Drosophila melanogaster: one gene and its partners. The protein of the gene in region 2 purifies or fractionates together with the protein of the main gene of each other region. This does not show direct contact. Each region holds a gene or a part of one and is shown on either strand. Other genes may lie near its edges.

What was found.
Region 1: the proteins of nsl1 (region 2) and dgt1 purify together in Drosophila melanogaster (affinity purification with western blotting; 3 studies listed by BioGRID, with this or other methods). This does not show direct contact.
Region 3: the proteins of nsl1 (region 2) and Chro purify together in Drosophila melanogaster (affinity purification with western blotting; 2 studies listed by BioGRID, with this or other methods). This does not show direct contact.

Annotation. Positions count from the first base shown.
Region 1 is NT_033777.3:29,855,407-29,859,159, forward strand, and holds the start of dgt1 (dim gamma-tubulin 1), read right to left. Parts: upstream 2,086-3,753; 5' UTR 1,992-2,085; coding exon 1,481-1,991; intron 1,428-1,480; coding exon 1,235-1,427; intron 1,169-1,234; coding exon 1,005-1,168; intron 948-1,004; coding exon 547-947; coding exon of another isoform or gene 538-546; exon of another isoform or gene 243-537; coding exon 1-242. Other genes in the region: CG7824 (uncharacterized protein), read right to left, coding at 2,351-3,312, 3,369-3,465.
Region 2 is NT_033777.3:15,791,729-15,795,481, reverse strand, and holds the start of nsl1 (non-specific lethal 1), read right to left. Parts: upstream 1,701-3,753; 5' UTR 1,429-1,700; exon of another isoform or gene 1,282-1,428; intron 654-1,281; 5' UTR 576-653; coding exon 1-575. Other genes in the region: Acyp2 (acylphosphatase 2), read right to left, coding at 2,158-2,272, 2,331-2,440, 2,509-2,525, 2,581-2,647; c(3)G (crossover suppressor on 3 of gowen), read left to right, coding at 3,040-3,548, 3,604-3,753.
Region 3 is NT_037436.4:22,877,375-22,881,127, forward strand, and holds the start of Chro (chromator), read right to left. Parts: upstream 1,611-3,753; 5' UTR 1,260-1,610; intron 852-1,259; exon of another isoform or gene 645-851; 5' UTR 621-644; coding exon 563-620; intron 502-562; coding exon 76-501; intron 15-75; coding exon 1-14. Other genes in the region: Ssl1 (suppressor of stem-loop mutation), read left to right, coding at 1,992-2,056, 2,110-2,451, 2,504-3,413.

The DNA of each region.
Region 1 (3,753 bases), about 14 Mb from region 2:
TCTTCAATGGCTAAGCCCAGGTCACTGTCCATGTCCAGGAACATGGAGTAATCATCGTCGAGGGAGTTTGCCAGATCGTCAACTCCGTCAAGGTCAAAATCGAATATACCATTGGCAAAATCCAAGAGGTCATCCCCCTCCGGCTGCGGCTCATTCCGTGGGTCTTCTCCGACAAAGTTATCGAGACCACGGCCTGCTGCGAAAATACTTTCTACCGGCGGAGTGCTGGGAACTTCATAAAACTGGGGGATGAGAGGTCGGCAATTTATTCAGGGTCGATCACAAAGGGCTTGCTTAGACAGTACTAGCACTTATATACATGTGTTTCGTGTTGTTTCTCTAGATATACTTAGCTTTACTACAAATCAAGCCTAAATACTAGTTACGCAGTATTGTTTGTTCGAACTGTCTTACAGTTGGCTTACTATAGTTTCAGCAGTCATGTGCAACACAACTTATGGCAATGGGTGAGTGGACAGTTGGAATATATAAGCAGTTACTTGTGGTGGTTATGGCGTGGGTTGGGTTAGTGTTTGATCAACGCACCTTTTGTATATACTGGCGCTTAGCCGGCGCCACGGTCAGGTGCAGTACGCAACTGGAGTCTTCGAGAATGCTAGCCACTGGCTCCTGGCAGACCACCCCACTCCGCTCCACGCCGCAGGCTCGGAACAGCACCTGGCGCTTATCCTCCAGAATGTGCTTGCGGCAGTGCTTGCAGCAGGGCAGCGTTCGCTCACCACACTTGACACCGCCTTCGGTGAAGACGCACTTCGGGTTGCTCGACGACTTGGCTGCGTACAAGGCGTCGCGAGCTCGCTTCTCCTTCAGTTTCTTGTAGAGCACCGCCTCGACGCCCTGGCGTCGATGATAGCTATTCAGCGCCTTTAGCTGCTCGTACAGCTTTCGCTCGTGTGGCGTGTCCTTTAGCTGATCGTGAATGCTGCCTGAAAGTGTGGCATAAGACACATTATCCTGCATACCTAAAGGCAAGTGAAACTTACAATATAGCTCTCGCTCGCGTCGTATATCGTGCAAATACTTGCGACGTCGCTGCCTCAGCACGTTCTGCAGATATGAAATCTGCTCGCGGTAAAGACCCTGAAGCTTGATCAGCTTCGTTTCGGCAATCTTTACTGCCTCTGCGCGTGTAAAGACGCCAGCGTGTCTACAAGGGAGAAGAAAAAATTAAAATTTCCTTAAAAAATAGTGCTACGAATAAATCAAATCTTACTTCAAAGGATCATCATCCTCCGAATCGATACTCTCATGGTCAGATTCGTAAAACTCAATGTCCTGGGCGGTGTTCCTGAGACAGGGCGGATCTGCATCGTTGCTGGAACTATCGGAAGCATAATCCAAAATGCGACGTCGCTTGCGAGAGCTCTCCACAACATGTCCTATGGAATTGCGGTGATCCTGAGTGACTAGAAGTGAGGAAAATTAGATTTCAGCTCGGTTTATAGTCAGCAAGACATACCAAATGGCGTCACGTGGGGTGAGACCACATCGATTTCATCATCATCGCGTTCGATCTTTTTCACCTCTGGCTTTATGTCCTCCACATTAATGTGCGATGAGAGGCTGTGCAGCAGGGTCTCGTTGGTCTCCACCCGGCTGCGAATGCGGCCCACATTCATGTGCGTCTTCTGCAGCTGCGTCTGCCGGTTGTGCTCGAAGCAGAGGGTCGTCAGGATCAGCTCCTTCTTGTTGTCATACTTGGCCACCGCGTTGATGCACTTCCTGCCGTTCGAGTAGACGTGCGAGCACTGTCGGAAGTTGGAGCGCGGGTCGCGCAGGATGTGTCGGATGCAATACTCGTAGCCCTCGATCCGCATCAGGCTGCACTCGTAGGTGGGATTGGCGCAGTACTTAATCTTGACCAGCTCGCTGTGGATCTGCTCCCGCAGCTGGTGCTCCTTGTCCGGAGTGCAGGGCGTGCCGGTGAAGCGGGCGCACTGCCGCAATTGGTTTGGCGAAAAGCTGGACATCGTCCTTTCAAGATTTTTGCCGCTTTTTAGAAATTGTTCTCTGATTTTTCAGACGAAGCGAAATGAAATAAAATGCTGTGGAAACAGTGTGACCACAGCAAAGTAGAGCATAAATACCCCACACGTTGTCACGCTTGCCAACCAGTCAGCATCGCCATGAACCAAAAGAGGGTATCCCACCTCCCATGTTGAGTTTCTATATTTAAAAATATCTTAAGATTAAGGTTAAATTTGATAAAAATGCTGTCTAAGTTGGCATCTAAAACCAATTGGAGATTTATTAGGTTATGAAATTCGTTTCTTTCTCTAACAATATTATTACTCTAATAAACATAGCTTAGAGCCTGAGGATTTATGGTTTAATGGGGAAAATGGCAAAATGGGTGGTAGTTGTCGAACTCCGATGGCAAATCGTCTGCTTCGCTTAAAATGAGCTGGATCTGGGCCATTCGTATGCCATAGCGCAACTTGTAGTCCACTGCATCCAGTTGCGGGATGCACCTCCGGTTGATAAGGAGCAGGAAACTCTGACTGATCTCCATGACTTCCTCCGCCCTGAGGATGGACCAGTCCGACATGTCCACATTTAGGTTCTGGGCTCTCAAGCAGATCATGATCCGGTTGTGGTCCGTTTGACCCGTGGGCAACCAGATGCGCGCCTGAGGCGCAAATGGTACATCGCTGACATGGACGAGCTTGATGCGCATGTCATGCCACGAGTTGCTAATCGCGGCAACACAGTCCGACAGGAATACCTTTGAAAATCCGTCTTCGCACCGGATCACTCGGTGGCCACGAACTACGTCTGAGCTATCGAAGGACGGGACGGGACCCCCCGGCATGGCCATGACTCTGTCAGTCACCATGTACGCCAGCTGGGCCTCGACCTCCTGCCACCTTTCGTTAAGCAGACGGCCGTCTTCGTGGAGCTCGTCCACCAGGGCCATCGTCAGGTTGTCACTCTTTGCCAAATTGGGCTTCGCAGCCATAGGAGGACTTGTATTCTTGGGTCCCTTTGCCTTCTTGTGGGCACTAGCCTCCTTGGAGCCCTTTGCCTTTTTGGGTTCAAGTTCACTAGCCTTCTTGAGTGCCGCTTTATTTTGCTTCTTACGCTTCCTTGCTTTTTTACCCGCACCCCTGGTAACCACCGATTTCGCTGCTCTTGCCTCTGTATTCCGTATTTTCTTGGCTCGAGCGCGTGCGCGCCTGGACATTTCCTTCTCCTCCTTTACTGCACGTTTTTGATTAGCGTCCTGTGGAGATAAGCGGGGCTTTTCTTCAGGGGGCTCGGATTTTACACTCCGGAGAGAGTCGCCACGATCTTGAAGGACCAAGTGTAGCAGTTAGCATCGAGAAGGCTGACAACACACGACTTACCATTGTCATCGATTACAATCACATCCTCGAACTTCTGAGCCCTTATATTTTCGTTATTGCAGAAAGAGTCCTTCCTTTTTGTCCAAATACTGGACATTTTGTCAATTATTGCGTCTTGGTTTCTCAGAGCTAAGCAATAAACAAAATGTGTTTACCATCGAAGCGCGAAAAAAGGCCTAAAAATAACTGTAGTTCCACGTGGTTGCAACCCATGATAGACAATCAGCGGTGGCGCAAACCAGGGCGGAATTTAAAAACAATCCAAATTCGTTCCTTCAATCGTTTATTTATTTCATAAACTGTATTGTCTTTGTACAAACAGGAAAAGCTCTTACTTACTTGATGAACAAAACGGGCCGCTTGACTTGAACTGGGTATTTCGCTG
Region 2 (3,753 bases):
GAGGCAGGCGGAACCGGCTCTTTCCCCAGACTCACATCGGGTAGGGTTTTCCTCAGGCAAATCTCCGCGGATATGGTCTCCTCAAAGTTGATGGTTAGATCCGCCAGTAGCTGAGCGGTGGAGTTGTCCTTGGGCGTGGAGCTGTTGTCGGCGGAGGTGCTGTTGCCGGCGGAGGTACTGTTGCTGTCGTTATTGTTGTGCTCCACGGCAGAGGTGGAGGCTGCCGCAGTATCCGTCGAGGGATTTGGTGAAGTGGTGCTGTGTGGAGTCGGGGCTGTGCTCAGCCCCATTGGTTCATTGCTGGCTTTAGCGTTGCCCGACTTTCGCTTGTTATTGATTGCTAGCGAGGATCGCTGCTGTTGTAGATGCGGGGAAGCGGTAACTGAGGCCGCTGCCGCTGATGAGCGGGTAATCCGCGTGGTGGCCGTGGCCGGCGTGGGTGTTGCCGGCTTCTTGACCAAGCCAACTGCACATCCAACTCCTCCGCTTTCCGAGGAGCTGCGGGCCGAGGGCGAGGCGGTGCTGGTTAGCTTCTCCTTTGGACTTAGTGGCTCGGCTGTGAGCGCTGGGGCCATCGTTCTGATGCTAATACGTTGGCCGGCTGCTGCGGCATTTGGTTCGTTCGACTCCTAAGGCGTCTCTTTATGCTAATCCTGTCGAGAATTTTCCAAAAACGGGCTATTATTTTTCGGCAATTCAGCGTTAGGACGACAAAATAAAGGCATACTATTCGGTCCGAGACTACTGCGTTATCATATAAAAGAACAATATTGGTGTATTTATTTTTTATCTCGTTTAAACCGCCCGCCTCCGTAAGATTTCAAAATTTGGAATGGTTTTTTTTTTTTGTCTTTTCCGGCGTGTTATGTACATATGCTACATATGCGTACACAACACACACACAGCGTCGCTTTGGCCAACAAGAGAACCCATGAGAGCGAGAGAGAGGTCAGAAAGCGCGCTATTGCACACCATGATGCGCAATAAAAAAAACTGTATAGAACACACACACACAAACATATGCAGGGACTGACAGACTACTTTACATACTGACGAAATCATTGCGGTTACTTTCGAAAATTACAATTTTCCAAGATTGGGCATCTTCTGCCGGCGGGAAACTGCCGATCATGCCACCATGTTTTTATGTAATTCCGTTTATTGAGTTTTTCCACTACAATTAGCCTAGGCAAACGGAAACTCGCGCCTTTACACACACACACGCACATGCTAGCACACACACACGTGCAACTGTATGCGCCACTATATTCAGTTATTTACACAATCTCATTTATTGTATTCCACATGTCTCGATCAATTCTGCAGTAAAAATCAGTTATATGTGCTTTGTGTCCTATCTATATTCGCCCAGATTCCAGCGAAAGGGCAGTGGAAAAAGGTTTTCAGCGCGAAAGTAATCGTACTCACTAACACATGCAAGCAAGAACACACCGACAGCAGGCAGGCAGCACGCAAGAATTTGTAAATTGCTTAAAAATTAAGTAGTATTTTTTTTCATTATACGCACAATTCGGCCGTTCCGAAAAATTGCCCGTAGCACAATTGGCAAATATTTTTTGCAAACACAATGGCGTGACTCGCACTGTAGGAATTACGGTTTTCGCTTCACGGACTTTTTTCCTCATTTATTTTTTTCATCGCTTAGACTGCTCTGCTACGCTTTTGGCAAAACGACGTGTATCGAAGCTGTACTCGTTTCTGTGCCAGACCAAAGTGCGCTGTCGCCCAGCTGGTTGTCTCGCTCTTGCACGTGCGCCGCCTATGGCGGTGGCGCGGCCCACTGTTGTGTGTGCGAGCGAGATGACCAGTGTCTATGGCAGGGAGCTGCAAACTATCGGCTGTGATAGCAATATATCGAGTAGATACTGGAGTGGTGCGCACTTTCGACTAGCGACTATCGATTCTCGGAATAATTTTCCGCCTTGTTTTAAATAATTTATTATTTATTTATTGTTGTACTTCAGTACTGGGTTCAGTTTTGCGAAACGTAATATTTCTTATGTTCATACTATCGAATGTTATCGACTCAGTCGATAGCAATGCAGATATGCCTGCTTACGCAAGTTGCAGCCCTGGTAATTTATTTAGACTTTGTTTCGGAATTGGATGGACAACGAAAGAGCTAATAATTCGTTTTTAATGTTTTATGTCAAAGGAAGTGAACGTATAGTCCTCGATTTCCTGGATTTGCGAAAATTCAGCCTTTGAGACCTTAGCGTTGGGAATTCGGTTGTTCTCCAGCCAATGTTTCCTTCAAATTAGTGGGCGATGGTTAAATGATTGAATTAGTGGAGTGCAGCGGTACCTACATTTCCATTAAATTCATCATAGGAGCCTCCAGTTGTCCCTTGACGGTCCCATCCCGGGTATTCATGCACCAGCCCCTAACTCCCAATCTTTTAGCCTCATGCGACGTGTGCTAAGCCAAAAATGTACATAAGTTAAATGTTGATTTCCAGATATATATATAGGCCTCCCAGTACTTACTTTGCGGAAGAACACACCTGCAAAATTTAATACGCTGTTTAACAAGCCGAATCAGAAAAATGCATTGCATACCTTGCACTCGTCCAAAGATCTCGAAATCGAGGGCAAATATCTGCTTGGCAACTCCAGATCCCGCCATTATGTAGTCGTGATCAGATTTCTGATGCCACTTAGATTCCTTGCAGCACTCAAATTTCTAAATAGAGCTAGCAAAAACTGAATGTTGACAACCAAAATAGAATTATTATTAAATTGTAACATAGTTATCGTAGCCAGGGCGACAACGCAAAACCAGGGGCGTTCAGTAGAAAATACCGTGAGGTCAGTATTTAGACAGTACACACACCTCTTGTGAACAACAATATACTGTAGGTCATCAAGCTCATCTCTAGCTAATGTTTACCGTTGCTTTTCAACGCAGGACGCACTTGGTAAAAGTTTAGGTAAACTAAACAAAACGTTTGTAATGTACAATATATATTTATTTCTTTTATAAATTAGTTGCGCTAATACAACTGCTTAGCTGGCAAAATGACGGGCGCCAAGAAAAGATCGGGAGCACCGTTAGTGGATGCAGCTCACTCGAAAGCCCCAAAACCAGGTACAGTTGCCCAAGAAAAAAACAGCCAAATTCCAACTGTTTGGAAAAAGGATCATGTAAAAACTCAACTTTTCGAAAGATCAAACGAAAAGCCATCCAAAAAAAGAACTCCGCTAGTGGCTCCTAGAGTTCAGCAATCAAAAATTGAAGCGCAAACTTCTCAGGCTGTGGAAAAAACACAGGAAGACCAAACTTTTGCAGCCACCATAGACAGTTCAACAAAAAGTCTAAAAAAGTCTCCCAAAAACGAGGGAGAATTATGGGCAGATATTCAGAAGCTGTCGCCCCACACGGGAATAATAATTCATAGCTTCATAAAGCAGTACAACGAATCGCTAAATAATCTCAAGAAGAAAGACTTGGTGGTCAGCAAGAAAATGAGAGCCATCGCCATGGACTCGCTGAAGAAAAAATCGGAAAATATCAGCTTGAAGGAAAAGTAAGACCTTCCTTCTTCAATACAGTTCCTGCCTGCAGTGAGCTTATTCTTTCAGGTTGACAAATATGGAACTGGAGCTGACCCAACTGAAAACTGATCTTATCGAGCAGCAGGAGAAGAACGCAGAGAACATCCAGAAGTACACGGAAATCAACAAAAAGTACACCCACTGCGAGCAACATTACGACAAGGAGCTGGAAATCAT
Region 3 (3,753 bases), on a different chromosome or scaffold from region 2:
ACCGGTTGGTGATTCTGTTGATTTAAATATAGTTTAATAACAAGTGTGACTTTTATTTAGAATGTTTTGTATTACTTCTGGTAGGGGAGACGCTCGTGTTGTTGTTGTTGCTATTTGATGTGTTGTTATTGTTTGGATTGACCACAGTCTTTGTTATTCGCACAGGCATGTCCTGGAGTTGTCCGTGTGCAATTTTGCCGAATGACTGTATGGTCTTCCCAGCCACAATCCACGGCTCGCGGACGCTATCGTCTAGTTTTACCCAATGCTGGTACAAGGCCCACGAGCTGCCGGACGCGTCCTTGCGCGAGTGCAGCTGAGTAGCTTTCCATAGCGTAAAAGCCCAGATGGTGGGCTTGGGATCGAGCGATTCCTTCAAATTTGCATTTTCCTTTTCGCAGGCGTCCTCTTTGTGGGCCTGAAACTCTTCCACGAAGTTGTAGGCCCGGAGACATCGTCCACATACAAGAACGTCCATGTTTGCCAATTCCTCCTGTGCAGCTGCAGGGCAGAACACAAAATTAACAATAAAAATTATTTACCAATGTTTTTAGTCACTCACCTCTTATAATGTTTGCGTGTTTGCCGATTTCCGTAGGTGAAATCTCCTGTGCCAACATTATTCACGACTCCAGCGCCCAAGCCTTTGAAGAGAGCATTTAAAGTGTGACTTAAAAATAGTGCTGAATGGAGTCTTATTATTTGTTATTGCTTGGTTTTGAAATATTGGTAAACGGCGAAGAAAAAGTACAGTGCCGTGGTGTGTTTGTGCTAACTTGAACCAGGTGGCAACGCGAACGGTCGCTGTCTGCGGTGTGTGTCCGATATGGTGAGTTCAAGCATATGTACATCTGCAATGGGCAAAATGCAGCGGCGCTTAGGCAGCCGAAAAAAAACACTAAGTACATTATGAAAAGAACGAGCCTGCCGCACTGTTGTAGATATATAATATAATAAAACACAGAAAAGCACGAACTATGCGTAATGCGACTTTATTAGTTACTTAAACTTATCTGTTACAAATGCATTTGAACTTCAACACAGCTAAAAATTAAAATAAATAAAACCCTATGGTTCGATCCTATTTGTTTTCATTTAAAAAAAAGGATTACATATAGTTTAAATAATATCAAAGTTCACAATTTCATTTTGCCCGCTAAACCTTGCAGGCACTAGATATAGGCCAGGTATGATTGCAAATAAGCCTATTCCACATATCATTAAATTAAAAGATTTCTCTAGAACACTTTGGTACACACCTTCATAAACAATTTTGGATAAATATCAAACTGAATGTTGTTTCAAACGGTTATTTTAATTTAACTGACTCCCGATTTTTCAACACGAGCAGCTCCACTGCTGCTCACAGTTGTACGCGCGAACTCTGAATGCCAAAAGCGAAATTCGGCTGCACGGAAATTGTCCAGAGATGATTTGGTTCCGGCTGTGCGGACCTTAGAATGCTCTTCTGTGCTAAGCTATTTAAATCCTAATATTACTGGGAGTGTATTGCCTGTCGATAGCTTTAAACTAACTGCAGTCCAGTAAATTTTAAGATTTCGAAGGTTTTTTCGAATATAGTATATGATATAAAACGCGGGTTTCAATGCTTGCACGGTTTTAAGTGCCCAAACTTAGGGTGTAGCGCCCTTTTCAGTTCGCCCGTGTGGCGGTGCACTTAGTTAGCCAATTACGCGTCGTGGTGGGTATATTTATTGATGTGGCAACTTTGGGCGCAATAATAATAATATTGTACTTTTTTTGTTCATATTAGGTAAGAAATTCGAAATTATTTTTTATTATTTCATTTTATTATGTCATTCTTTTGTAGATATTTATTGATATAAATACTTACCCAGGGTTGCCACCCAGTGTATTGTATTTAACGTAGGCCCTGTGTGTACACACTGTTACATTAGCCGGCGCATTTTATTTAGCGTTAATTGCTTTTCTTTCTTGATTTGACTTGGTAGTGCATCAGGACTGCAAGTATGGCCGACGATGAGCAAGAGGACCAGAAGGAGTACCGCTGGGAAACGGGCTATGAAAAGACATGGTGCGATGGTGTGCGTGACAATGTAAGCCCGCACTTACTTTTAATCCTATTAGGGAGGCCATCAAGGACGACGAGGATGGGATGCTGGATGGAGCCATTGCAGAGATCATTCAGAAGGCCAAACGCCAGAGGCAGGCTCAAAAGTCCAAGCAGAACCGCCTGGGCATGATGCGCCACATGTTCGTTGTGCTCGATTGCTCTGAGTCCATGAGCGTGCCTGATTTGAAACCCACACGACTGCGGTGCACCGTCAAGCTGCTGGAGCTGTTTATCGAGGAGTTCTTCGATCAGAACCCCATCAGCCAATTAGGACTCATAGCGCTAAAAGCTAAGCGAGCGGAGAAGGTGACCGAACTTACCGGCACTTCGCGCGTGCACCTCAAAGCGCTAGAGAGGTAAGAACCGAATCAAACCAGCGTTCTCCATTTATATCCCCTTTTTGTTTAGCTTGGCTAACGTGTCCTTGACCAGCGAGCCTTCGCTGCAAAATGGCCTAGATCTGGCCCTAAAATCGCTTAAGGTGGTGCCGTCGCACGCCTCCCGAGAGATCGTCATTATCATGGGCTCGCTCACCACATGTGATCCTGTCGATATTAACCTCACCATCGACGAGTTAAAAAAGGAGGGCATACGCTGCTCGGTTATTTCCCTGTCCGCTGAGATTCACGTGGCCCGCTACCTCACTCAGCAAACAATGGGCACCTTCGGGGCTGTTTTGGATGATGCACATTTTCGGGATCAACTCATGTCTCAGGTAGATCCACCGCCCGCCGCTAAGACTCAGCACAACTCGCTTATTCGCATGGGCTTCCCGCACACAAAGAATGAAGTTGAGGGCAAGGACGCGCCATTGTCCATGTGCATGTGCCACATAGAGAACTTGGAGGAGCCCAGTGAACTGACCACTACTGGCCACCACTGCCCGCAATGCAACAGCAAGTACTGCGAGCTGCCCGTGGAGTGCCAGTCTTGCGGCCTCACCCTGGTCTCCGCGCCGCACTTGGCGCGTTCCTACCACCACCTTTTCCCGGTGCCAAATTTTGAGGAACTGCCGTTTGAGGCGATGCCTGCTTCGTCATCCGACCTCACCAGCGATGTCAGGGAATGTTACGGCTGCGCCAAAGCTCTTGGGCAAGGCGTTGACAAGGTCGCCGATAAAGTCGTCTTCAGATGCGGTTTCTGCAAGCAGTTCTTCTGCGTTGACTGCGACATCTTCATTCACGACACATTGCACGCCTGCGTGGGATGCAACACCATTCCCGGCGTAGACGGTCTGGTTTACCAGCAAAGTTCCAAGTCTGACCAGGTTGATGCACACCCAGGGCCCTCAAAGCAGCGCGGCCAGTGTGGGATGTAACTGACTTTCTATAGATAGATATTTCGAACTTCCACATAACTACGCATTTGGGGCAAACAAAATACAGTTCGTTTCGAAACGGTGGTTATGAGTTGTATCAATTAAAATCTGGTTTTATGCTTAATAATTGTGAAGGCGAGCGTAGCATTATTATGGCCGTTGTGTGAGACCCTCTCAATTGTATTGCTAATTACTTGGTCATAGGCTCTCTGTGCCGCTTCATGCGAACTTGGCGCACTTTTGTCTAGAGCTCGCTTGAGTTCATCATCAGCGTTTGCCGCATTCGGTCGGGTTTAGTTGCGATTCAATCCAAAAGCTCTCGGCACCCACAGGTGTTCTC